Linked DNA regions of Canis lupus familiaris. The protein of the gene in region 6 purifies or fractionates together with the protein of the main gene of each other region. This does not show direct contact. Links are inferred from orthologs where the notes say so. Each region holds a gene or a part of one and is shown on either strand. Other genes may lie near its edges. The genes, in order: SLC9A6, SLC30A1, TCTN2, SLC12A6, PTPRU, CLGN and SLC12A2.

The links.
Region 1: the proteins of CLGN (region 6) and SLC9A6 purify together in Homo sapiens (co-immunoprecipitation; 3 studies listed by BioGRID and IntAct, with this or other methods). This does not show direct contact. The link is inferred for Canis lupus familiaris from reciprocal best matches to the Homo sapiens genes CLGN and SLC9A6.
Region 2: the proteins of CLGN (region 6) and SLC30A1 purify together in Homo sapiens (co-immunoprecipitation; 3 studies listed by BioGRID and IntAct, with this or other methods). This does not show direct contact. The link is inferred for Canis lupus familiaris from reciprocal best matches to the Homo sapiens genes CLGN and SLC30A1.
Region 3: the proteins of CLGN (region 6) and TCTN2 purify together in Homo sapiens (affinity purification with mass spectrometry; 3 studies listed by BioGRID and IntAct, with this or other methods). This does not show direct contact. The link is inferred for Canis lupus familiaris from reciprocal best matches to the Homo sapiens genes CLGN and TCTN2.
Region 4: the proteins of CLGN (region 6) and SLC12A6 purify together in Homo sapiens (affinity purification with mass spectrometry; 3 studies listed by BioGRID and IntAct, with this or other methods). This does not show direct contact. The link is inferred for Canis lupus familiaris from reciprocal best matches to the Homo sapiens genes CLGN and SLC12A6.
Region 5: the proteins of CLGN (region 6) and PTPRU purify together in Homo sapiens (affinity purification with mass spectrometry; 3 studies listed by BioGRID and IntAct, with this or other methods). This does not show direct contact. The link is inferred for Canis lupus familiaris from reciprocal best matches to the Homo sapiens genes CLGN and PTPRU.
Region 7: the proteins of CLGN (region 6) and SLC12A2 purify together in Homo sapiens (co-immunoprecipitation; 3 studies listed by BioGRID and IntAct, with this or other methods). This does not show direct contact. The link is inferred for Canis lupus familiaris from reciprocal best matches to the Homo sapiens genes CLGN and SLC12A2.

What each region holds. Positions count from the first base shown.
Region 1 is NC_049260.1:107,407,472-107,410,084, forward strand, and holds part of SLC9A6 (sodium/hydrogen exchanger 6), read left to right. Parts: intron 1-1,954; coding exon 1,955-2,227; 3' UTR 2,228-2,613. UniProt on the Homo sapiens protein: Endosomal Na(+), K(+)/H(+) antiporter. Mediates the electroneutral exchange of endosomal luminal H(+) for a cytosolic Na(+) or K(+).
Region 2 is NC_049228.1:9,811,904-9,815,837, forward strand, and holds the start of SLC30A1 (zinc transporter 1), read right to left. Parts: upstream 2,801-3,934; 5' UTR 2,763-2,800; coding exon 2,147-2,762; intron 524-2,146; coding exon 1-523. UniProt on the Homo sapiens protein: Zinc ion:proton antiporter that could function at the plasma membrane mediating zinc efflux from cells against its electrochemical gradient protecting them from intracellular zinc accumulation and toxicity.
Region 3 is NC_049247.1:6,206,203-6,210,196, forward strand, and holds the start of TCTN2 (tectonic-2), read right to left. Parts: upstream 2,801-3,994; 5' UTR 2,679-2,800; coding exon 2,597-2,678; intron 2,453-2,596; coding exon 2,345-2,452; intron 1,892-2,344; coding exon 1,803-1,891; intron 971-1,802; exon of another isoform or gene 895-970; coding exon 702-894; exon of another isoform or gene 593-701; intron 434-592; exon of another isoform or gene 1-433.
Region 4 is NC_049251.1:1,127,315-1,130,814, reverse strand, and holds part of SLC12A6 (solute carrier family 12 member 6), read right to left. Parts: coding exon 3,425-3,500; intron 3,035-3,424; coding exon 2,901-3,034; intron 2,007-2,900; coding exon 1,915-2,006; 3' UTR 1-1,914.
Region 5 is NC_049223.1:70,679,004-70,681,862, forward strand, and holds the end of PTPRU (receptor-type tyrosine-protein phosphatase U), read right to left. Parts: intron 2,100-2,859; coding exon 1,964-2,099; intron 1,723-1,963; coding exon 1,660-1,722; 3' UTR 501-1,659; downstream 1-500.
Region 6 is NC_049240.1:3,153,950-3,157,449, reverse strand, and holds part of CLGN (calmegin precursor), read right to left. Parts: intron 1,014-3,500; coding exon 900-1,013; intron 729-899; coding exon 578-728; intron 1-577. UniProt on the Homo sapiens protein: Functions during spermatogenesis as a chaperone for a range of client proteins that are important for sperm adhesion onto the egg zona pellucida and for subsequent penetration of the zona pellucida.
Region 7 is NC_049232.1:17,053,209-17,057,275, reverse strand, and holds the start of SLC12A2 (solute carrier family 12 member 2), read right to left. Parts: upstream 2,801-4,067; coding exon 1,988-2,800; intron 1-1,987. UniProt on the Homo sapiens protein: Cation-chloride cotransporter which mediates the electroneutral transport of chloride, potassium and/or sodium ions across the membrane. Plays a vital role in the regulation of ionic balance and cell volume.

The DNA.
Region 1 (2,613 bases), on a different chromosome or scaffold from region 6:
TCAGGGCCCATGCTAATGACTTCATCTTAACCTGATCATCTGCAAAGACCCTATTTCCATGTAAGATTGCATTCACAGGTACTGGTGGTTGGGATTTCAACATCTTTTGGGGAGATATCATCTAACCCATAACAACCATAAAACTTAATTTTTAATGTTATTTTTCATTTAATTACCTACTTTTTTAGTTATAAAAGTTACCATACTTGTGGCCAGATATTCAAACAGTATGGAACAAAGTGAAAAATCAAAGTTTGCTCCTTCTCCCAACTACATCCCCCCCAGAGGTAGTCTTTATGAAGGATTTATTGTGTGTCCTTCCTGATATATTTTATCTGCACAAACATACATGTCTATATAGCTTAGTTACAGTTTTATATAAATGAGATCACAATTGCATTGTCCTGCTACTTGTTTTTTTTTTTTTCACTTGATGACATAGCATGGCTACCTTTCTATGAGTACCTGAAGACCATTACCTTCTCTTTATCCATGGCTGAATAGTGTGGCTGGACCAGCATTGATTTAATCAGTCTCCTGCAGCTAGACCTTTAGGTTGTTTCTTTTCCTTTTTTTGTCATTACAAACCATGTTTATGGGTAAAGGCACCCCAGAGCTTTGTTGTGAGTATTACTCAGGAAGGGGACAGACCCTAGTGAGCTTTCACGTTATACTGCACCAGGCAAGAGGGCATTCTGGTTGGTTGGTGGAATGAGTTTGTTTCATTTTTAATTCACATGGCTTTGAGTATTTAGGCAAATTTCGAGCAATAACAAATTAAAACTGTTTTAAATTTGTATCAGTCTCCTTAGTCTATCTTAGACAAATTTAAGATTTCCAAACATAGCTTAGAAGAGCTGGATGTCAAAGTTTGTATCAACTCTACTTCTCTGAAGGAGTATTAGTCACAGAAGCTTTTTTTGCCAGATCCATAGGAGTGTTTAGAATGATTGTTTCACTTTATATTAGAAAACAATGACTTTTGGATTTTTAAAAGTCATATGTACTTATTATAATAAAATTTCAAACAGTGTGGAAACATAAGATAAATCACTAGCAATTTTATTATGCAGAATTAATGATCATCGTTTTGTTGATTACCTTTCCAAACTTTTCTCTGCACGCATAACATTCTTTTATTTACCAAATTGGCATTACATATGCTTGATTTTTCCCCCTTTTGTAGAACTTTACTTAATTCTACTCTTTTGGCCACAAAGTCTCCATTAGAACCAAAAGCTTATTGAGCTGGAACACAAGTATATGGTGAGGGTTCAGCATATTTGGGGGATATTATATCTCTAGGCATTGTTCATATAGAAGTAATAGCTTCACTTACATAAATCCACTCAATAATCCATCAGACTTACATTTGGAGGATACTTTCTGTGTGCCCCTACCTGTTAGGTGTTTGGACTACAGCAAAGGGGCTCAGAGGCTAGTAGTGTGAGATGTGAGAGCAGACCAGTGCACCTGCAGTTGTGGTACAGGGATAAAGGGCACTGTAGGGCCAGGAGTCAGCACAGGATGCCGGGAGAGAACACAGGAGGCACACTGAAGCCAGCTTTGCTAGATCATAGAAGACGTCCAGCAGGAAGGGACTTCCTTTAACTAAGACCTCAGTGATAAACAGGCTCTATTCCCAGGAAGGAGGGCAGGGAAGACAGGAGGTAAGAGGAAGCATGAGTGATTTGGGCACCTTTCAGCAGTTCAGACGGCAGGCATACAATGTGGAGGCTGGAGTGGGTGAGGCAGATGCAGGGGGCTGGGGGTGGGGAGGGGAGGGCCAGACTCACGCAATATCTTTAAGCTAAGGTGAGGGCTATAGGCTTTATCCTGAGGGCAGCAGGCTAGCCCTAAAGGGTTTTTAATAGGGAATCCTTGCAAATTCTTCTATTGAAAATGTTTGTTGAGTCGCATAGCAATTCTTAAGACTTATTTTATTTGCATTTAGAACCAGGAGCAATTGAAAGACGATGACTCCGATCTTATTCTCAATGATGGTGATATTAGTTTGACATATGGGGATTCTACTGTGAACACCGAATCAGGAGCATCTGGTGCCCCTAGAAGGTTTATGGGAAACAGTTCCGAAGATGCCTTGGATCGGGAGCTTGCATTTGGGGACCATGAACTGGTCATTCGGGGAACACGCCTGGTTCTTCCTATGGATGATTCCGAACCCCCATTAAATTTGTTAGATAATACGAGACACAGTCCAGCCTAAGCTTACTAATACTCCCTTAGTGATTTGTAAAATTTGCACATGTGATTGTGAAGAAATTTGTACTACCTAAAAAGTCCCAGTGCATGTCTCTGAATGTTTAAGCTATATAAATGCTCTTTATATGGCATTGAGAGAATATAAATATCTGTACAAGGCAGATTGTGAACAAACTATTCTTTTACATTTCATTGGCTGCACTATGTAGATTGGATCTGTTTTAGAAAAAAGTTATTTTCACAGTGATGTTGTGTGTTCTGTTAGCTTTATGTCTCAGTTAAAGTATAAGAAGTGACAGATTTACTCTTTACACTTACCTGATACTTAACTAGAGTACCAAGTTCTTGTGCCGTGAATTAATTTTGTTTTGTGGGAGGGGAGGGAGAGGA
Region 2 (3,934 bases), on a different chromosome or scaffold from region 6:
ATTCTGCTTCCAGCAAGTTGCCAGACATGTAATTCATGAACTTCCTCAACTCCTTCAACATCTCGAAGTTCTTTTATCAAATTTTTGATATCAATTTGTTTAGGAACAGTTTGCAGAAGAATTAGAGCAGATTCCTTAAGTAATGGATAAGTTGTGTAAAGAAGTATACAAACCATTACAATGCAAAGAGTTGGATCTAAATATAGCACCCAGCAAGGACCAGCCTCATGAACTGTTGCATGAGTACTATTAATTATTTCTACAAATGCTTTGCAGGGGTCAGGGATACATGGATTCACACAAAACTCCCCTTCAGGACAACCCCTCCAAGAAAAGTAAAAGACCAAGGCATTTACTACTACAATCACTGAACCCAAAGCATCTCCAAAGACATGCAGAAAAACTCCACGCATGTTAAGTTGTGCAGCCTTATCGTCATCTTCCAATTCCACATGGTCAGATTCTCTGATAAGATTCCCATTCACTTGTACTTCCACTGCATCATTTCTAGACTTTTCTGGATCTATAAAGAAAGGAAAAACGCTGTATCAAATACATTAGCAGTGTTTATACAAACTTCTTCATTCAAGTCCATTTTAGTGAAAGAGGTGAACATTTTTCATGGAATAAAATTTTTTTAAAACGTGCCCAGGACAGTTTATTATATAAACTGACATGTTGGGAACAAGCCAGGGCAAAATCAAGTCCTTAAGGAGATAGTGCTTCCCCGTTCTCCAAACCAGCCCCCTACTTCTCCCACCTCCAAAAAAAGTTCATCTTTTCTGTGGGGGTGGGGTCCCCTGTACATTCTGCTCTACTTTTCGGCATATGCAAGAGAAAACGTAAAATCGAATGCTATCACCCACAAATTAAATGCAACTAGGAAGAAGTCTACTACAAATGCCTGATTTGACACACAGCTCTGGTCCCTCTTTGTCATTAAGGTGTTGTAGCTAAATCTTAACTTTTATCATGAACAGAAACCAAGAAAAGAGTCTCTTGGTGGAGTGTTTAGAAACGACAAATCAGCAATATGAGCCCATCAACAATCATAAACTTCAGGAAAAGCTGCAACGATCACTATCTACCCTACCAGTTCTTAAACCAAACGTACCCATCTTTTAAAGGAATTACTGTCTACACACCAGAGCAGCCTCGTTTTCTTTGGAATAAGACCTCGCAGAGGGGGAGTAAGGGGAAATTCAACTGTTTAGTAAACCTTTCAATGTACAAGTTCAATTTCATTAACGTGATATCCTGCACCTCGAAGAAAGAACAAGTAGTATCATCCGACTAAACAAATAAATATAAGCGGAAAAAGGCTGGATGGAAATACACCAAATTATTAACATCATCAGAGCTTGGGGAGCTGGGCTTTGGTCGATTCCTTTTCCCCATCTCTTTTCTTTCAGCATTTTCCAAATTGCTTTCAAGAGTAATCATATTTAGAGGGGGGGGGGGGGAAGCATCCAGTAAAAAGGGAATAAGGGAAGTCACCGTCAGGCTTATTTTATAGTATGATTTTCCAAAGTCCGGAGTGAAAGGTTAAAACATGACCAAACAGGGTCCTGAACTAGGATCTGCAGGATTAGGCTCAGACTGGAGACAAGTAAGTGAAATACACACACACACACACACACACACACACACACACACACGATGCCCGTTCGGAAAAGACACCTTTCACCGGGCTTTTGGGGTGAGGGAAGTCCATGGCTAGGGGGGCTCTGAAAAGAAGAAACTTGTTTGAAGGGCACAGGAACTACTCGGGCAGGGCAAGGTTTGTGACGGCCAACAACTCAGGATGAGGTGGGGATTCTCTCCGTTTCCCAAGGGGTGGGGGTGGGGGTGGGGGGTCGGGGGCAGGAAACTGAATTAGGAAGCACTTTGGATTCCGTGGAAACCCCGATCAGGAGAGTCTCTCGGGAAGACGGCTCCCGAGGGCGGCTGTGGACGGTCCCCCCCCCCCCGCCCCCTCTGCCCCCCGCCGCCCTGGGTCCCCGAGAGCCCCGCGGGCCCCGGACGGCGGCCCCGGACGGCGGCGGCGCGGGCAGCAGGGGGCGTGCGGCCCTCCCGCCCCGGGCCGGCCGAGGGTCCCGCCGTCCCCCGGCCCGGCCACCTGCGGTCACCCTCCCCGGCCGCTCACCTGGCCGCTCCAGTTTCAGCCCGTTGGAGTTGCTGCTGTTGGACACCAGCGTGTTGGTCTCCTCCGCGTCGGGCCTCTGCTCGCCCGGGGTCTCGCTGTCGTCGCCGGCCCCGGCGCGGCCGCCCTTGCCGCGGGCCCCCTTGGGGAGGCCGTGGCCGTGCCCCCCGTGCGAGTGGCCGTGGCCCGAGTCGTTGCCGAAGCCGCTGTGATGGTGGAAGAGGCACAGCCCCATCACGTTGACCAGCAGCCCGGCCACGCCGACCCCGAGGACCACCAGCGGCTGCTGCATCTCGTGCGGCTCGATGAAGCGCTCGATGGCCTCCAGCAGGATGGCGAAGCAGAGGCCGGTCAGGAAGATGGCGTTCACCAGGGCCCCCATCACCTCGGCCCGGATCCAGCCGAACGTGTTCTTCTGGGTGGCGTGGGTCCGCCGGGCGAAGCGCTCGGCCACCAGCGCCACCACCAGCGCCAGCACGTCCGACAGCATGTGGAAGGAGTCGGAGAGCATCGCCAGGGACGAGGTCACCTGGCTCACCACCACCTCGAGCACCATGAACATGAAGGTCAGCAGCAGCATGCACACCAGCCGGCCCCGGTTGCGACCCCAGCACCCCATGGCTGCGGGCCGGCGGCTGCCCTGGCGGCGCGGGCGCGGGCGCGGGCTCGGGCGGGGGCGCGGCGCGGGGGGCGCCGGGGGGCGGGGGGTGCGGGGCGCCGCGGGGCGGGCTGCGCGGCCGGGCGGGGTTGAGCCCCGGGGTCAGGCCGCCGCGCCCCCGCGCCCGAGGGCGTCCCCGGCGGGCGGGCGGGCGGGCGGCGCGCAGCTGCTCAGGCGGCCGTGCTCGGGGCCGGCGCCGAGGCCCGGCTCAGCCCCAGCAGCCCCCACACCACAGCGGGGCGGCGGCGGCGGCGGCGGCGGCGGCGGCGGCGGGGGCCGAGGCGGCGGCGGGGAGCCGGGGCTGCTCCGGGGGCCGGGGGGCGAAGAGCCGGAGCGGCAGCGGCGGCGGGCGGGCGGCGGGGGCGGGCGACGGGCAGCTCCGCGCTGCCAAGGCTGCGAGCATCTGCAGGGCTCTCGGCGCAGGTCTTCCCGCCGCTGGTCTCCTCCGCTGGGACTCGGACCGCGGAGCTGACGCCTGAAGAGCTAAAAAGGCGGCGGCCCCGGCAGCTGCACTCGGCCCGGTCTCCGGCGCCTTCTTCGCCCCCCCGCCTTTGCAGACGGTTTACAAAAAAACTTTGCTTTGCACTCGGAACCCCCGTTTTCACACGGACCCGAGCGTGACAAGGCCCCGGCGCCCCGCCCACCAGGCCCGGCACGCCTCCCCATTGGCCGGGACCCCCTCACGACAGCCTCCGCTCCCCGCCCTCCCGCGCTCGCCATTGGGTGGGGGCTCGGGGGGGCGGGAGGGGGCGGGGCCGAGGCGCCAACAGATGGGGGCGGGGCCTTCCTCTCCGGGAGCCGGGCGTGGGCCGGGGGCCGCGGCCGGGTGCAGCGGCGGGCGTCGTGGGGGAGGGTCGGGGGCGCGGGCCGCGTGCAGCAGGAGGGGGCGGGGCGGGGCGGGGCGGGGCGGGCGCGGTCCCCCGGGGCGCGGCGGGGCGGCTGCCGGCGCCCTGCGGGTCCTCGCGGCGCCCCGCGCGCCCACGGGGGCCGGGCGGCCGGCAGACTTTGATCCTCCGCGCCGAGTCCACGTGGTGGGTGAAGGGACGGCTCGGGAGGCGAGTTGACCGAAGTCAAGCCATCTTGGTATTTCGGCTGACCCTTAACCTAAAAGTCAGCAGGTCATAAAAAGAGTC
Region 3 (3,994 bases), on a different chromosome or scaffold from region 6:
GATATCTGCTATAGTGCTAGTTATACATCATAAGCTAGAAGTGCCTTAAATGCCATCAGTAAGAGACTAGTCAAACAATGGTATCGCCGCACAAGGGAATACTATGCAGCTCTTAAAAAAAATAGGTGAACCTACATTTATATGGAATTTATTTTTAAAAGGTATAGAATAGAATAGTAAATTGCATGTTATTAGTGCATGTGTGTGTACTGTTTTTAAACAAGAGAATATCACACACCTCCATAAGCGGAAATTAAGAGGCTGCCTCTGAAAAGGCAACTTTGACTGAAAATTTATTGTGGGTTTTCTGTTTGTTTTGTAAACTTCATTAATCTTTCCCTCATTTCTTTTTTGTTGTTGTTGTTGTTTTTGGTTTTAAGATGGAGTCACAAGAATCAATACACAGAAACAAACTTCTCTTTCTCCCTTGAAGGTAATCTACAAGGATATGAACAATAGCACAAAATAAAATAGGTCTTAATTAAGTAAAATAGTACAAATTATAAATTTCTAAAATAAGAAAATTAAGCAAAAAGGAAGTATGTTTAGAAAGGTAAAATTGGGTTTTTTTGGTTTTGTTTTGTTTTTTTAGAAAGGTAAAATTGATTCAAGAGCAGAGTGCACAGATTGCATGTCATATGCTTATAATCTGACAGATAATGTCTGGCATGAATGTTTTGATTGTCAAAGACTTTACTAACCTGATGCATTATGGGCCAAAGAAGAGTTGGCATAAATTTCCACTCGAATGAGCAGATGTGCTAAGCAGGATGAATTGCGAGATGCTGAAACCAGAAGAGTCTGGACAATACACGGGGACTCTGAGAAGGAATCTGTCTCAGAGAAACACCTTTGCAGACCCCTCTTCATTCTCACTGTCACATCCAATGCATTCTGAAAGGAAAACGTGCTGTCCCTTTTAAAGTGACTCAACAATAAATAAATAAATAAATAAATAAATAAATAAATAAATAAATAAATAAATAAATAAAGTGACTCAACATAGCACGAATAATTCTAAGAACACATAATGGAAAACACAATAAAATTACATATCAGCTTCAGTTCACTTGAAAAAGGAGAACTATATACAAAGATCACATCATTTGATCCTACCCTGTAAACTTGGGCAGTATGCAAGCCCTGATTCCTAATCCTCAGTTTAACAGAAAAGCAAGCAACTTTTGGAGAGTTAGAGAAGCCTAAACATAGGTCTGTCAGGTAAATTAACTCAGTATGCCCAGCACCTTTTTAGAGACTTTATCATCCTACCAGCATATCAGCAGATGAAAAGCACACACAAGTCAATGAAAACAGTCCCTAGTTCCTGCAGTATAAGCAAAGTCTGCCTTTCTCAGCCTTTATCTCCAAATTTGATGTCTTGCACATACTAGGCACTCAATAAAACATTTATTAAATGGAAGATATTTAACTCCTCTGGGCTTGAGTATTCTTACATGTAAGATCAGAGCTGGGTGAGGCCAGTGGCTATGAAGATTTTTGAGTCATGGATCCATTTGATAATCTGATGTGAGCTGGCAACCCTCTCCTCAGAAAAATGCAGGCACACAAATAACATTACAGACAATTTCAGAGGGTTCACAAACTTCTTGAAATTTGTCCAAGGATCCCTGAATCTAGGGTGAGCCCCACTGAGTTGGGTGGGTGTCCACTGGAACGGATAACCTACAGTTTCATGGTAGTTCCAAGCAGAGGGAAAACTATGTATCTTAACCAACCAAGAAAGCCCTGCAGAAACACTAACTGCAGGTGTCCATGAGTGCTAACCGAGGACATTTTACCTCTGACCTTACCACACTAGGGGTCACAGTCAAGCTCCATTCTCCTGTCTCATTCGTCAGCACTCCACAAGCAGGAACCGGTAATAACCCTATAGGAGAGAAGTTTAGGATGCAAGGCGGGATTGCCCAGCAGCTAAGGGGGTGCATGCTGGACTCAGGCTCCCTAGGAGGGAATGAGGATTGGGCCGTTCATAAGTTGTGCGACTTTGGACAAGTGACAACCTCTCTGAACTGCAGTGTCTTCATTTGTTAAAGGACATGAAAGGATATTACTGTTCTTACTAGGAAAATACGGTTGCACGTAAAGCACAGGGGACAGACAGCTCAGTGGATGCTAGCCATGGCGGCCCCAAGCTCGCTTTCACCGAACCCTTCGGTCGGCCAGCGGTGGTCCGCAGCGGCCCCCCATCCCTGCTCCCACGCCGACTCTGCAGTGGCCGGCGGCCGGCGCCGCGAGGATGCCACCTCCCAGGATGCCACGTGGCCAGGCTCCGTGGGCCGCCCAGCCCCACCCTCCCCACAGGAAGGGCCGGACTCTTTACCCTCCTTGTCTTGCAGCAGGGCCAGGGACACGGTCACATCCTCCGTGCGTCCGACCAGGGACGCGCTGGCCGCGGGGCCGGTCATGCGGATGAAAGCTGGGATGAAGACTAGGCGGGAAAGAAGGGGAAGGGTGGATTTACTAGCTGCAAGGACTCCGGGAGGGGTCCCAAGTCTGGCCCCTTAAACGCCCCGTTCCCAACCCCGCCCCCGCCCCCGCCCCGGCCTGCAGGCCCCGGCCCTGCGGTACACACCCAGGTCCCCCCACAGCGGCCTCAGGACGCCCTGCAGAAGGAGAAGCCCCAGGAGCAGGGGGGCCGGCGGCGGCAAGCCCATGCCTGAGGCCTGGGGGCTCGCTTCACGGAACCGCGCCGACCTCGGAAGCCGGGGAGCTCTGCAGCCGGGGCCCGCGCCGCCCCGCCGCCGCCATCTTGCGAAGCCAGCCGGAGCTATGGCAACCACCAATCAGCCGCGGGCCTCAGAGCCCCGCCCACAGGCCTGCGCCCCGGCGTCTCCACGCGGGGATGGCGAAGGGGAAGCGGTGCCCTCGCCTCCAGCTAGTCACGCGGCAAGAGCGAGCCTACGGGCGCTGGCTCCTGAAGAAGCTCCTTAATAAACTGGACTTTTATGGGCACTTTGGGAGGACAAAAAAGGGGGTGGGGCTGCCGTGCTGTAACTGCAGCGCTGTTGAATTGTTTTTATCCTCCCAATTTTTTGAAGAGTTTTGTGTTGCTTGTTTTTGCCGCACGGAGCCATAAGCGCTTGTAGGCAGGTTTCTTTTAAGATTTTATTTATTCATGAGAGACACAGAGAGAGAGAGAGAGAGAGGCAGAGACACAGGCGGAGGGAGAAGCAGGCTCCCTGCAGGGAGCCCAACGCGGAACTGGATCCCACGACCCCAGGATCACGCCCTGAGCCAAAGGCAGATGCTCAACCACTGAGCCACCAAGTCTCCCCATTGGCAGATCTTTTCAAAGAACACAAAGTATTTTGCCCAGCATTAGGACGGTTGCCAAAGTGTCTGAATGCTATGTCAATAGCCTCAAAGCATCTCACACCATATTACTGTAATCCAACTAGGGGTGCAGGCTATGGGATCACTGTGGGATTTCTCCCTCCTTCCGCGACTGGGTTGTGGAGGCAGAGAAAAATTAAGGCCATTCCACCTCACGTTTAGCATTAGCACAAGTACAGGCATCTTAGTCCCCTGGGAATAAGAGCTGAACTTTACAGGAAAAACTGCAGAATGTCCTCGGCAGGGAATCCCATATCGGAAAGACCATAAAGCTCAGAATGCCCTCCGCAGAGAATCCCTTATCAGATCTTAAGAAACTCCCCCACCCTTTCCCCCATATTGGAATGGAAAAAATTCCTCCACCCCTTCTGAAGATCCCCTAGACCAGCCCATAAAAAACCCAGCTGTAACCCACTTCCCGGTCCAAGTCCCTGCTCCGCTGTGTGTGTTGCACTTGGACCCAAGCTCAAGCTTGTAAATAAACGCTCATGTGTTTGCATCGGTGTCAGCTCCTTGGTGGTTTCTCGGATTCACAATCTTGGGCACAACAGGGTGACCTAGGGCAGCTCACCTAACCTCTCCGAATTTGAGTTTCCTCATCTGTAGAAGGGAGAGAACAGTCCCTCCCTGACAGGAT
Region 4 (3,500 bases), on a different chromosome or scaffold from region 6:
CTAGGGTACCTGTCCCACTACCGTGGACTCAACTAAACAATAGAGTATTACAGTGGAAGCTGTAAACAATGCCTCTACCCTCTACAGTGAGGAGCAAGAAAAACTTGTGTCTGCTTTGCTACCTTGACTAGGTCTTGAGGTTGGAAAAAAAAGAACAAAGGAAACAAAATACTCAATTTCTAAGCCATACTGAAGGGTTTTCTCCTCTGTCCATAAGGTTCAAATGAATAATCTGCTGATACCTAGGTTTGCTTATTCCATATCCAATAGGATATGGAAAAAAGAGTGGCACTATTTATCATTAATAAAGTGATAAAAGTGATCATGAATACAGGCAAAATAGTTTCTCTAAATACTTGTCCTATAAAAGAAATGAACATTTCACATATTTTCAGTTACCAATCGAAGCAGTTTCCCTATGCTTGAAAGCCTGGTGTGTTATGACCAGTAAATGAAGACAACCAGTGAATGTTTTACGACCAGCAAATAAAAAGCTAAGCTTGCACAAGTATTTCCTTGACACGCTGAGAGCTTTCTGAAAGCAAATGGAATAGCAGAGGACTGCTGGCTTGGATAATCTTAGTTCAGAGCCAAGTTCCTGCAGTCCCAATGAAGAATAAAATTGAAAAAAGAAAAATGCTCAGACTCTGGGTATTTAGGTGAGCTGAGGGCCTTATGTCTTTGCTATGGCTTTGGAAATGAGTCCACAGTTTCTTAGTGAAAAAGAAGTTTCTTGACAGGCCAGTGCCAATCCTGTGCCACTTCAGGGAGGCAGGCAGGGAGAGTAGCAGCAGCTCAATCTTTGGCACTGTGGAAGGAGTATGGCTCTAGAACTTCAAATTCCATTGCTAGATTCCCCCTTTAAAACACAGTCCCACGCTTTCAGGGATTTCAGTGAGTCTTCTAGCTAGTCTTTATTCCTAGGATTCTGGACCTGTCTACTAACCCAGAGGGCAAAAAAGAAAGGAGAGGAGAAACTACTGGTCAAGGTGCATCGTCACCTAGATGTCCTAGGTAACAGCTTGTATGTACTGCCCACGATGCACAGGCAACCAAAGACTTTCAGTAGATCTTAATAGCTACCTTTTGGAGTTAACTTTAATTTGGCCATTTGAAAACCTGAAAGATATCCTTTTTACTCCACCTTTAAAAGACAATTTCCAGGATAACAATGCTTGTATTACAATGTTAACCATGGAATGGATTTTGAGAACCAGCTGACATGTAGACCAACACAATCTGTCCTTGAAACTGGTATTTTGGGGGAATCTTGTTTTGAAGGAAGAATTAGAGGCTGCAGCCATGTTTCAGTGTTTGTATATTAGTACTCTAATATAAAACAGAGTCCTTGAGAGGAGTGGATACATCAAAGAAAATGAGCTAAAAAAGGTTTTCATCTTGGTTTGCCACAGGATATCCCACAACGATGTTAGGTCCCCACATACTTAGCCATGTAGTCTGTATTACGATGAGTTGTGTCTCTTTTACCCTCATGGTGTCATCACTGAATTGTGACTTTGGAGATGCCCCTTTAATATAGGACATGTACTTGCTTTTTGTCTTCAGCTGAATTTCTAGCATCCCTTTTGCCAATTCATTTTAATAGTTTAGCTTGTTAATTCTAATTTGTCTTCAGCTAGGCCAGACATGGCTTTCAGGACTTGACCAGTGTTCTGAAGTTGAGGAAATACCTGCTGTTCCTGTCAGGACTGGAGATTGTATGGTAGCAAAGAGCAGAACGACGTGTACTTTTCTGCACAAGTACTTGAGGCTCAGCCTGTCAAGAAATTCAATGTGCTGTGTACAGAACCCCAGCTTCTACTGGATGGAAGTGGTAGTAAGGAGCTGGCTTCCTATGCAGAAACCTTTTATAAAGGGGAGGCCTTTTAGAAAGGCAGAGTCTTCAGGAGTAGATTAGGAATAAATGGTGATCACTTCACTGCCACCACCTCGGACGAGGAGGACTCGCTCTAGTCCCTCGGTGAGCACTTCTAGGAACTCCATGTCTTCAGAATTTGTCAAGGAGAAGAGCACACTTTACAGCCTGACGTCATGAGAATCGGGGTTTGTCTGACTACAACGCTGCAAAGTTAACATGCTTGTCTTAATTATTACCTGCTCAGAATGGGAGAAGTCTGAACTCTGGATTCGGTTAACCCCTATGAACTAATCCAGGGATCTAGTTCTTTTGCGTATATAATACAAGACCTTCATTTGTTAGATTTTTGTTCTAAATGTTATTTTACAAATGAGGGAACTCACAAGTAATGTGTGTGTACAACACAGTAAAATAAGCCAAAAGAGAAAAGCCACACAGGGCAGCTCCTAAGACTGCTAGAGAACCCAAGTAATTTCTAAGGGAGCTGCTCAAATCAGTTTTCTCTGCCAGTTCTTTTTCTTCCTTAATCTCTTTTCCTTAATGGTACTGATGGGAGAGGGCTAGTCTACACCACTGCATTTCTGAAGGGGGCCCATAAAAAAAATGAGGTGTGATGAGGGTATGAGGAAAAACCCTTATCTTTTTCCCCTCTGAGAAGATTTCACTTAAACTGCTTCTCCCCTAACTACATCCACAAGAAAGGCTTTGCGAAGTGGGTGAAGCCTGAAAAGGAAAAAGGATGTGGGTCTTGTGTCTCTAGGACTGTTTCAGAAAGGGTTCTGTACTGTGAGTGTTAGCAATCATGTTGCAGAGTTACCACCTCAAGAGTCTATGGACACCCAACTCCCCCAGAGGGGCTCAATCTCATTGCTGTGTAAGAATCCTTGCCTAAGGCTTTCAACAGCCTTCCCTTCTCAAGAACGAATGTGGGCACAGACAGTGATGTTAAGGCTACTCAGTGGTCGCATCTCAGAACCACTAACGACTTCCCTACTGGTAGCTCCACTCTTGGAAAGGATACAGTTTTCATCACCCTCAGGGTTTCGGGGTGGCCCTGGCATATTCAACAAAACCAGCTTTGCTTCATGGGACTTGTTAACTATGACCTCATTGAGTTTCACTGCTGTATGCATCCGCCTCACGTTGGATTGGTCCCTGGATGGGTAGAAGGGAGAAACAGAGGTGGTTAAGGCAAAGTGAAAGCTAGACACACAGTCAACTTTAAACACCATGAAATACAGAGCTTTTTTACTTTGGTTATGAATAATGTAATGAACAAATGTTTTCCTTATGCTAATATCCTGGATTTTCTCATTCTACATTTGCTTCTTTTATGCCAGGAACACAGTATGGTGAGAAAGAAGGCTGGTTAGCTTATGTACAAGACTAACTGGTAGCTGACAGGCACAGGCAAATAACAAAGAGGCTGGATCTGGGGTGATGTGAAGAACGGACTTCATCCTGTGTATCCAGGCAGAGTTACATATGTGCCACTCTGACTAGGATACCACGTTATGTGATAAGCTTGTGAGCTGCAAAACTTACGGACGCATGTTAAGCAGGTCCTGGAATCCTTCCATTGACTTAGCCTTTTGTCCCCGGGATGCCATGTACTTGTCTT
Region 5 (2,859 bases), on a different chromosome or scaffold from region 6:
GGTGCCATACAAGGCACTTAGTCATGACCTCTTCTGATCCTATCAGGGTCATCCCCATTTTACAGATGGGAACCAAGGCCCAGAGAGGGAGCTGACTTACCCAGGGTTTCACAGCTGGGGAGGCTCATCGACCTGATACCAAAGCCTGAGCCTCCCATGCTGTCCCCAAAAGAGCTCAACCCAGATCCAGGCCCCCATGGGTGAGAGGCAGCTCTGTGCCCCTCAGGGGTCTCAGGATGAAGCCCACTGACTGAGGAGCTGCTTCAGAGGCCTGGGTAGAGGCAGCAATAGACAGAGTTCTCTGGAACCTGTCCCTACAGGTCAAAGTCCCCTGACCCATGCTCTGGTCCACATCCCCACCATTTTGTGAATGGAAAAACCAAGGCCTGACCAGACCCAGGGCCTCTGCCTCCCAGCCCAGAGCCCTCCCAAAGCACTAGGGGGCTGGGAGCTGGTGAGCAGGCCCCACTCAGGCTGGTCAGACACACACAAGGCTGCTCTGTGGCATTCAGAGAGCACGTTTATTTACAAAGCGCTTTACAAACATCAGCTTATGCCTCCCCACAGCCCCTGCGAGGTAGGTCAGTAGTCATATCTACAGTTTACAGATGGGGAAATTGAGGCACGGAATGGGGGTGTGGCCTGCCCCATTTTAAAGAGATTTTCCCACCCACCCATCAAAAAATAATGAAATTAACAAAAAGGAATTGCTCCTCCAACCCAAAATACATGTTCTTCCACTGAACTGTAGAAGTTGGAAGCACCCCTGATCTAGCAGTGCCTCGTCCTCAGGGGGCAGCCTGACCCAGAGCCACAGGAACCTCAACCCCAAGGGCTGTTGTTCAACCTTGCAGATTGTCACTGGCCTAGGCTGAGCAGGACCCACCAGTGAGGCCTGAAAGTTACAGGAAGAAGGGCTGAGGTGCCTTCATTCTGAAGACATTGGGTCAGGCAGGGATAGGGCCCCACAGAGAATAGGGCAGGGATGGGCAGATCCCAGTTCACGGAAGCTCAGAGCACACATCAAGGAAGTCATAGTGGGAGGCATCATGAGCAAAATATCCCCAGGGCTGATGAGGGGGCAGCAGGGTGGTGGAGGGGGCTAGAGTCCCATCTGGGGAGGACGAGTCTGATGTGCCCAGTCTCCCCAGGACCCTCAGGGGCCAGGCCAGGTGGGATTCCAGATGCCAAGCCCCAGTGCACCCTCTATCCATGTCAAGAGGAAGCCACACTGCCAGGTGGAAACCTTGGCCAGCCACAGGCTCTGCAGGGTCTCGCTCATCTCTGCCAAGGGCTGGGACAGAGTCTGGGGCTTGAGCCTGGAGTCAAGGAGCTTGAGCCTGGGTCCTCTCGAGTTGTCAGTTCTGAGCCCCTGTCACTCTACCAGGCAGTGCCAGACTCACAGCACAGGCCTGTAGGACCCTGTGGAGGTGGGCTACGCTGCAGTCTTGCTAAGCTCCTCCTTGGCCCACAGCCTGCCCATCCGACATGGTGAGAGGCCCTGCCCACAGTGGAAGGGAGCACCAAGGTGGCACAGTGCCCACCCTAGTGCTTTCCCCGCGGGAGCTGTAGTGGAGCAGAGTTAGGGGCACAGGTCTTCGTCCTCAGTGCTGAGCCTGGCCCTGAGTGCACAATGTGGGCCCCAGGCCAGGGGCCCCGCTATCTTGACTCCAGTCCCTCCAGGTACTCCAGGGCCACATCATAGCAAAAGTGGTACTGATCCTGGGGAGAGGGAGAGAAGGAATCATGAGCCTGGTCCCTCTCTGGTATCACGGAAAGGGATAATGGGGGCCCAGAGGGCAAGTAGGAGCCCTGGTCAAATGGGTATAACTGTGTTGGCACCATTAGATCAGAGCCCAAAGCCCAAAAAGGGGGAGCCAGGTGGAGGACAGCGGTGCCAAGGGACTGGCTGGGTCTGGCCTGGGAAGCTGGAAGTGGTTGGGAAGGGGACATGGTCTCTCACCAGGGTTTCCACCATATTGGGCTTGTAGTTCCTAAGTGTTTTGGCAGCAAAGAAAACGTCCACCAGGTTGTGGCAGCGGATCATCTCCAGGACTGTGGCACAGGCGCAGAAGGTACCACTGCGGCCGCCCCCATTTCTAAATGAGACACACAGAAAGCTTGTGGTGGGGCTCAGGAGGGGTTGGCCTGGGGCTGGAACATCAAAAGTGACCAGGGAAGCAAGAGGGAGGAGGGTCAGGGACAAGCAGCCCAGAGGTGAGGAGCAGAGCCAGGGAACCCCAGACAGGAGGGGCGGGGCTTAGGAAACCTAGGAGAGAGAGATCTGGGAGCACAGAGGTGAGGGGAGAGGTTGGGAACCCAGGAGGGAAGGGCAGGGAGCCCCAGATGGGAGGGGCGGGGCCTAGGGAACCCAGGAGGGTGGGGTCAGGGAGCCCAGAAGGGACGGGAGGGGCCAAGGGAACCCAGTAGGGTGGGGTCTGGGAGCTCAGTCACTAGGACTGGCCTCGGAAGCCTGGGGGCAGCTAGGGAGCCAGCCTCTAGGAGGAAGACAGCAGGTTCTGAGGGAAAGGAGGCTAGATACACTCCGAGAGAATGCCACTGAGACAAAGACACAGACGAAGGAGGGCAGCAGAGCAGCAAGCAAACCCCAGAGAGCAGGATGGAAAATGAATACCCCAAACACCAGTCACCCCCAGCAACACAGACACGTGGTGAAAATTCACGCACACACTCACACTCCGAGGCAAACCGGCAGCCAAACATACAGAGACACTTCCTATCCCGTCTCCTCTCCCTCTTCTGTTCCCTGTGACATCAGGGTGTGGGGTTCCCCTTGGGAGAGGGGGGATGGCCTAGGCCCCCAGCCCCCATTTTGAGGGGTCTCTCCCACTAGGACCA
Region 6 (3,500 bases):
CAGGGAAAAATATAGTATGAAGTCACTGATCTTTAGTTCTTAATATTATTCCCCCAGAAAATCACATAAAGAATACTTAAAAATTTTTTAAAAGTAAATTCTATGCCCACCATGGGGCCTGCACTCATGAGGCAGAAATCAAAAGTCACATACTCTATGGACTGAGCCAGCCAGGTGCCCCAAGAATACTTTACTTTTTAAATATAAATTAGTTGGAGTCTATTTTCTTTGACTTCTTAAATAGTTAATGCATACTATTACAAATCAAATTTCTAAAAGTTAACATTATTTTTAAAAATATTTTATTTATTTATTTATTTATTTATTTATTTATTTATTTATTTATTTAAGAGAGAGGACAAGCGGGGTATTGACGGAGTGATAGGGAAAAGCAGACAACCCACTGAACAGGAAGCTGGAGCCAATCCCAGGACCCTGGAATCACAACTTAGCCAAAGGCTTAACCGACTGTGCCACCCAGGCGTCTCCCAACATGACATTAATAACAACTAGATACAGAATAGAAATATCACAGCATTTTAAACTTGACTGTGGAATTGGAAGAAGTGGTTATTACCTGGTAGTTAGGATTATCTATCATTGGAGGTCTCCATACTCCTTTGTATTTGGGATTATCTATCATGGGAGGTGACCACTCACCACACCCAATTCGACATGCTGGATTAGAAATACGAGGTGCCTCCCATTCTCCATCCATGTCTTCATTCCTTAGGAAAGTAGGGGAAAAAATTCAACATAAAAGCTTTACAGACGAAAATGTGTATCTATGCATTTATAGTGACCTCAAGTATAGTAGCTTCAAGTCTCTCCTGTAAGTCACATGAACTAGTAGCACAAAGCAAGAAAGAAATTGACATTTGAAGATGAAGAATATTTACCAGTCATCAGGTTTTTCAGCATTTGGATCTGGAATAAATTTTGGTTCATCATCAAGCCAGCCATCAGGTTTAACAACACTTAAATCTTCTATTTGGGCAGGTTCACTTTCATCCCTGGAAATAGAGTATTTTGTGCCAAGTATTAATTATTCAAAAAGTTTAAAAATACATATGTTACAAAATTCAGAAGATATTCAACCGGTATTTCCTACCCTTCTGTCTTTTGTGCCTGCTACTTCCCCCATCTCTCATTCGCCAAAATCTTCTGCTAACTTGTCACTTTTTATTTTTTATAATTTGTTTTAAATTTTTTTATTTATTTATTCATGAGAGACACACAGAGAGAGAAGCAGAGACACAGGCATAGGGAGAAGCAGACTCCTCGTGGGGAGTCTGATGTGGAACTTGATCCTAGGACTGCAGGATCACAACCTCAGACAAAGGCAGACACTCAACCACTGAGTCACCCAGGTGTCCCGTAATTTAGTATTTTCATTTAAAAACACTTAGAAAACAAATTCTAAAATATATAAAAATAATCATATTAAGTACTGAATAGAACTCCTAATGATAATTTTCATCTTTATAGAAAAGTAAAAATTTTAAACAAGAGGTTACAGTATGATTTTTCAAACAAACCTAAGTAAGATAAACTCAAATAATCAACTCCCTGTAACTAAAGACTTGTACTTGCCTGATATCAATGTTATCTTAAGTCTGTCAGGGTTCAGAGTAACTATTAGAGTTTAAAATTTTAAGGGAACATTTCTTTTAGCAGTTTATAAAACAAATTCTAACAGGTATCACCAATTGGAAAAAGGTTATCATAACCCATTTCTCTTATTTAAGGGCAATCTTCTTTCTCAGCCTTACTTTTTATGGGTAAACAAATATGAAGCAATGTAAGACAATCCACATGAAGGATTGTAGTCCTACCCTTTTCTGAAAGTGAATTCATGAAAGTTATGCATTAATAAGTGACTTTTTATTAGTTTTTTAAAAAACTATACTGTTCTTCCTACCTTATAAAGGTTGTTTCCCTATTATACTATTTGCTTGAAGGCAAAGACATTTTTATCACTAATCAGAATCTCTCTTTATCTACAAGAGAGTTAACAAGTAAACACTTTTGGTTATCCAGAAGCAACACTCTTATTTCTGAGTACGTAGTAACCCCAATGTTTACAAACAAGTAAGAATTTGAAATAGGAGTAGACATTTTCCAAAATGAAGCAGAGAGAAAAAAAATTGGTTTAAAAAATGAACAGGGGTGTGTGGGTGGCTCAATCAGTTAAAGTCTGCTTTTGGCTCAGGTCATGATCCCAGAGTCCTGGGACTTAGCCTTGAGCCTCTCATCAGGCTCCCTGCTCAGCAGGAAGTCTGCTTTCCCTCTGCCCCTCCTCATCCTGCTCCTGCCCCCCCAACAAATAAAATCTTTTTAAAAATGAATAGATCCTCAGTAACCTGTGACATCATGTAAATGTAAACATACATTTTACATGATGTTCCAAAGAAAGGGGAGACACATATAAATATTTAAAGAAATAATGGCCAAATATTACCCAAATTTGATACAAACTATACAGCTATATGCCAAAAAGCTCAGAAGCAAAGTAAACCAAAGCAAACACATATACACAAAACCAAACTGTTGAAAATCAGTAATAATAAATCTTAAAACCAAACAGGAAAAAATTACATATTAGGTAAAGGAGAAAAAGGATGAGAATAACAACTGACTTATCAGAAACAATTCAAGCTTCCTCAAGACAACGCAAGAAATTATGGTTTTAAAATAACTATGGGGCAGCCTGGGTGGCTCAGCGGTTTAGCTCCGCCTTCAGCCCAGGGTGTGATCCTGGAGACTGGGATGGAGTCCCACATGGAGCTCCCTGCTTGGAGCCTGCTTCTCCCTCTGCCTGTGTCTCTGCCTCTCTCTCTCTGTGTCTCTCATGAATAAATTAAAAAATAAAATAACTATCAACCTGCAATTCAATAGTAAAAACAGCCTTCCAAAATTAAGGTAAAATAAAGTTTCAGATAATTAAAAGTTGAGAGGATTCAATGACAGCAGACATATGTCACAATATGTTGGGAAGTTTACTAGGCAGAAGGAAAATAATAACAGATGAAAATGTGTATCTACAGAAGAGTACCAGAAATGATAACTATGAGGGTAAATAAAAGAACTTTTCCCCTAATAATTGTCTGATCAAAAGACACTGACTGCAAAATAAATATATGTGGCCTTCATAGTATAGATAGAAGTAAGTGTATGATAGCAGCATGAAAGAGGAAAATATAAGGCCCTTATAAGATTAACTTAGATGTAAAGTGGTATGATGACAGTAGACTGAAATAAGTTAAAGATGAATATCATAAAACTTACAGCAACACTAAAACAGTAAACCACAGAGGAAAAGGTAATATGCCAAGAGAAAAGAAAAAATAGGAGACTAAAATAAAAGAAAACAAAATAACTCAATCTAAAAGAATTTAGGGAAAAAAATACCTTATAAAGGACCACAGAATATATGGGACAAACAGAAAACAAGTAGTAAGAAAAGAAAATAAGCATAATTTATATCCAACCATATTAAT
Region 7 (4,067 bases), on a different chromosome or scaffold from region 6:
CGCCACCCAGGGATCCCTTAAGAGAATTTAAAATTTGAAATCCTAGAGTTGACGCGCTACCTGAAAGACCAATATAGATCAAAATAATAACGATACAAGCCATTATACTCTAGGCAGTAAACATGGGTCTTGATGTCCCCCTTTTTTTTTTTTTTTTTTCCTAATCTTCAAAATAACCCTGAAAGCTGAGGAAGAGGAGGCTCATAGGTTGGGTAGTTGCTTCAACTATACAGCTAACAATACAAGTGTTCTTTTTAAGAGATTGTAAACTGATCAAAAATGCCCAAACAAAAAAAAAAAAACCTCTCAAGTTTTGGAGAACCTGGAAGTGCTTTGTTGTTCAAACTTGAAGTACTTTGTTGTTGAGAGAATTTAAAATAAAAACTTTCCTAGGATGTTTACAAGTTCAAGATATTTAACATCCTTCAATTTAAAAACCCTTTTTAAAACTTATGGGTAAATATAGACTAACTACTTAACTACTCAGCTTTGGTGCAATCTGAAATACGGCTTTATGATGTTTTTAATAATATATATGCTATATACTGGAAGGGAAATTACCAGCTATACATCTACTTTACAGAGGCTTAGAATTTGGCAAGGATAAAAATAATAAATTTGAAAGAAACTAGAGGAGGACAAATAAGTGTTTTAAAAATTGTCTTCTGATATGACAAAATACCATCATGGAGTAACAGGAGTAGTATTATCCAAAACTGAATGTCAGGCTTTTAAAGAATCAGCAAGCTGCAAGAATTGGGACCTCTGTAATTATTTCAAATCGTATGAATGTTACATTATCAAACACTAGGACAAATACAGTCTCGAATGAAACGACTGTATGAGAGCAAATAATCACCTACAAAGAAATTGCCTATGTTCTGTATTTAAACTTTTCCACACTGTGATCATCATCCTATGTGGTACCAACTCTTTCCATTCACAAAATTTCATCAGCGTAGTCACTTAGACACTTGTTAAAGTAGTCCCAACTCCTAAAAGTTAAATATTAATCAAGTTTCAGAAGCACTGAAGTTATCTCAAAACAATGATTTTATACCCTGATGAAATAAAAAGATGATGTGGCCATAAAAAAATAGAATCGTATAAATCAATAGACTTTTGGGGATGGTTTTCTGTTCACAAATATAACTACTTATGCAAGACCCTAGAAGGTCTTTCTGGACATTCTCCACACACGCAAAACAGTAACAAAACCCCCACGATTCCCTTACTTCTCTTTCTCACCTTGTACCTTTCTCCTCACCCTATTTTGCACTTTGCCCACCCTCCCAACTTTTTATATAGTCCTCTCACAAGAAGTTTACGTAATAAAACACAGATTTATGCCATGATCAGGAACATCATCACATCCCAAGATTTGTTTGATCCTTTGCATATTCAAGATGGCAGGAATTGAGCTTTAATAATCCACAGACCACAAACACACCCTGTTAAGATCTTCCTTTCAAACACTACGGTTCCCACTCTCGGGACCCCTAACCGGTGCACGCACATAAGCCATACGACACAACCCCTAAAAAGGGCACAGGCGGTGGGGGCCCTCCACTGTCTTCCCCAGAGAGTAAATCCTCACCGAAACCATCCGCACACACCCTTCCCGGGCCCACCAGCACAACTGTCATTCGGAGGAGGGATGGCTGATGGCTAAGCGTGGGTGAGAAAGCAAGCATACACGAGGGACACACGCAAGTGGACGGTGAAGGCTGTTCAACCCGGTCCCTCTCCGGTCCCCTAACCGGCTCAGCCCGCTGCAAACTTCTAAGAGGTTAAGTTACGTTCCTCCGCGATTCCAGCCTTGACAGCTGCCTGCAGAGATGCCCACGAGCCGTGCACGTCCGTTCCCGCCACCTCACTCACCCGTGGCGAGGCGGCGGCCACATCCCGCGGTCAGCGAGGACCAGAGGTTGGGGATGAGGCAGGGCTGGCGCGAGAGGGCTGCGGGGAAAGGGCTGGGAGCGCTCACCTTCTCCAGCTCGTCGTGGAGCTCGGCCAGGCTGGGCCGGAGCAGCTTCTCGCCCAGCTGCGCTGCGGTGTGCCGGTAGTGATCGATCCTGGGCACGGCGTCCATGGTGTTGTGGCCAAAGGTGCGCAGGTAGTAGGTGTTGGTGTGGGTATCGTAGTAGTAGTGCTGGTGGTGCCCGCTGCCGCCGCCGCTGCCGCCGCCGCCGCCCGAGTGCAGGCTGCTGCCCTCGCTCAGCACCGTGTCCCCGCCGTTCTGGAAGCTCACGTTGGGCCCGTCGCCCGCGACCCCCGCCGCGTCCGACAGGCTCTCGTCGGCAGAAGAGGAGGCGGCCGGGTCCACGAAGTTCACGCGGAAGCGGCCCTTGGCTTCCTCGCTGCCCTTGCCCGGCCCGCTCTCGCCGCTAGCTTTCCCGTCCGCCGGGGTCTCCCTGCCCCCGGCCCCGGCCCCGGCCCCGGCCCCCGCCCCGGCCCCGGCCCCGGCCCCGGCCCCGGCCCCGGCCCCGGCCGCCCCGGCCGCCGCAGCCCGCCCGGCATTCTCGGAAACGAGGTCCACCTGGAAGCGGCTCTGGCTCGGCGTGGGGCCCAGCGGTCTGCCCAGTCCGTCCCCGGCCGCCGCCGCGCCCTCCCCGCGGACCCCGCCGCCGCCCCGGCTCCCGGCCGCAGCATCCTCCGACCCCGAGGGCACGGCCGTGCCGGGCAGCTCCACGCCGGCGCCGGCGCCCGCGCCCGCGGCCCCCGCGGCAGCCGGCGGCGTCTCCCCGACCCCAGCCAGCCTCGGGGCGCCGGAGGAGGGCGCCGTGGGCCCGGGTTCCATCGCCGCCCGCCCGCGGCGGACTCGGAGAGCCCCGCGGCGCCGCGGGCTGCACGCCCTCCGCGCCCCCCGCCGGCGGAGCCCGCGGCCGCAACGCCCGGTGACGGTGACGGAGCCGCCCGCCGCCGCGCCGCCGCTAGCCCGACCCGCACGAACGCCGCCGGCAGCCGAGTCGGCGCGCGAGTGCAGGGGGCGCGGGGCGGGCCGCGCCGTTTAAAGCCTCGGCGGGGCCGCGGCGGCGGCGGCGGCGGCTCGGGCGGCAGCACGCGGGAGGCGGGGTCGGCGGCTCCTCCGCCCCTCGGCCCGCCCCCCCGCGGTCCCGCAGTGTCGCGCGGCGGGCGCTGCCCCGGCGCCCCGGCCCTCCCGGGCTTCTGCCGGAGCCCACGCGAGAGCGGCCTGCGCGAGGACCGCGTCGGTCCGGGCAGCGCGGGCAGCGCCGGCAGCGCGAGCAGGAGCCGGAGCCGGAGCCGGAGCCGGAGCAGGGAGCAGGGAGCAGGCGCGGCGGCGCGCCGCCTCAGCGCCGTCGCCGGGATCTCCGCGCCGCTACCTCCTCTTCCGTCGCCTTCCTCCCACCCCTCCACCTCCTTCCCCCGCCTCCTCTGCGGCGAAGAGGAGAAGGCCCCCGGCCGCCTCCCTCTCTCCCCGCCCCTGGGGCTGCACGTCAATGGGCCGACAGCCCGGGCCTCGTCAGAGCAGGCGGACGGCGGACGGCGGACGGCGCCCGGCCCGGCGGGCGAACGCGCGGGCGGGCGCCCGATGCTCCCGCGGCAGTGGCTGCCACAGCGGAGGCACCAGGAGCTCGCTCGCTCGCTCGCTCTCTCCAATCCTCTCTCTTTCTTTAAAAAAAAAAAAAAAAAATTTTTTTTTTTTTTTTTTTAAGTTCTGAGCTCGCCGTACTGGGGCTGAGCCGGCGAGATCTCGCGAGATGCTGCAGGGCTCGGGGGCCGCTTCACCCGAGGCGTGTGGTACCCGTGGCGGCGCTCGAGCTGCCGGCCGCACCCCCGCCCCCTCGCTCCCGTGGGTGACGCCGGGGGCTTTCCCGTCGGGCCCGCAGGTGCTTCCGGGGCCGCCCGGCGAGGTGCGCCCCCAGGCGAGGTCGGCTCGCCGCGCCGGCCCGCGCCACTGCCCGCTGTCAGCGCCTGAGCCGCTCCGGGCCTGAGCCGAGGGGGGGAGGCAGGATTTCCTCTCAGCCGCCTTTGAGGCGGCCGCCTCCCCGCCTGCCGCGGTAGATTTGCATAACCAGAAACACTCCCGCGGAGATGCGGTGGGT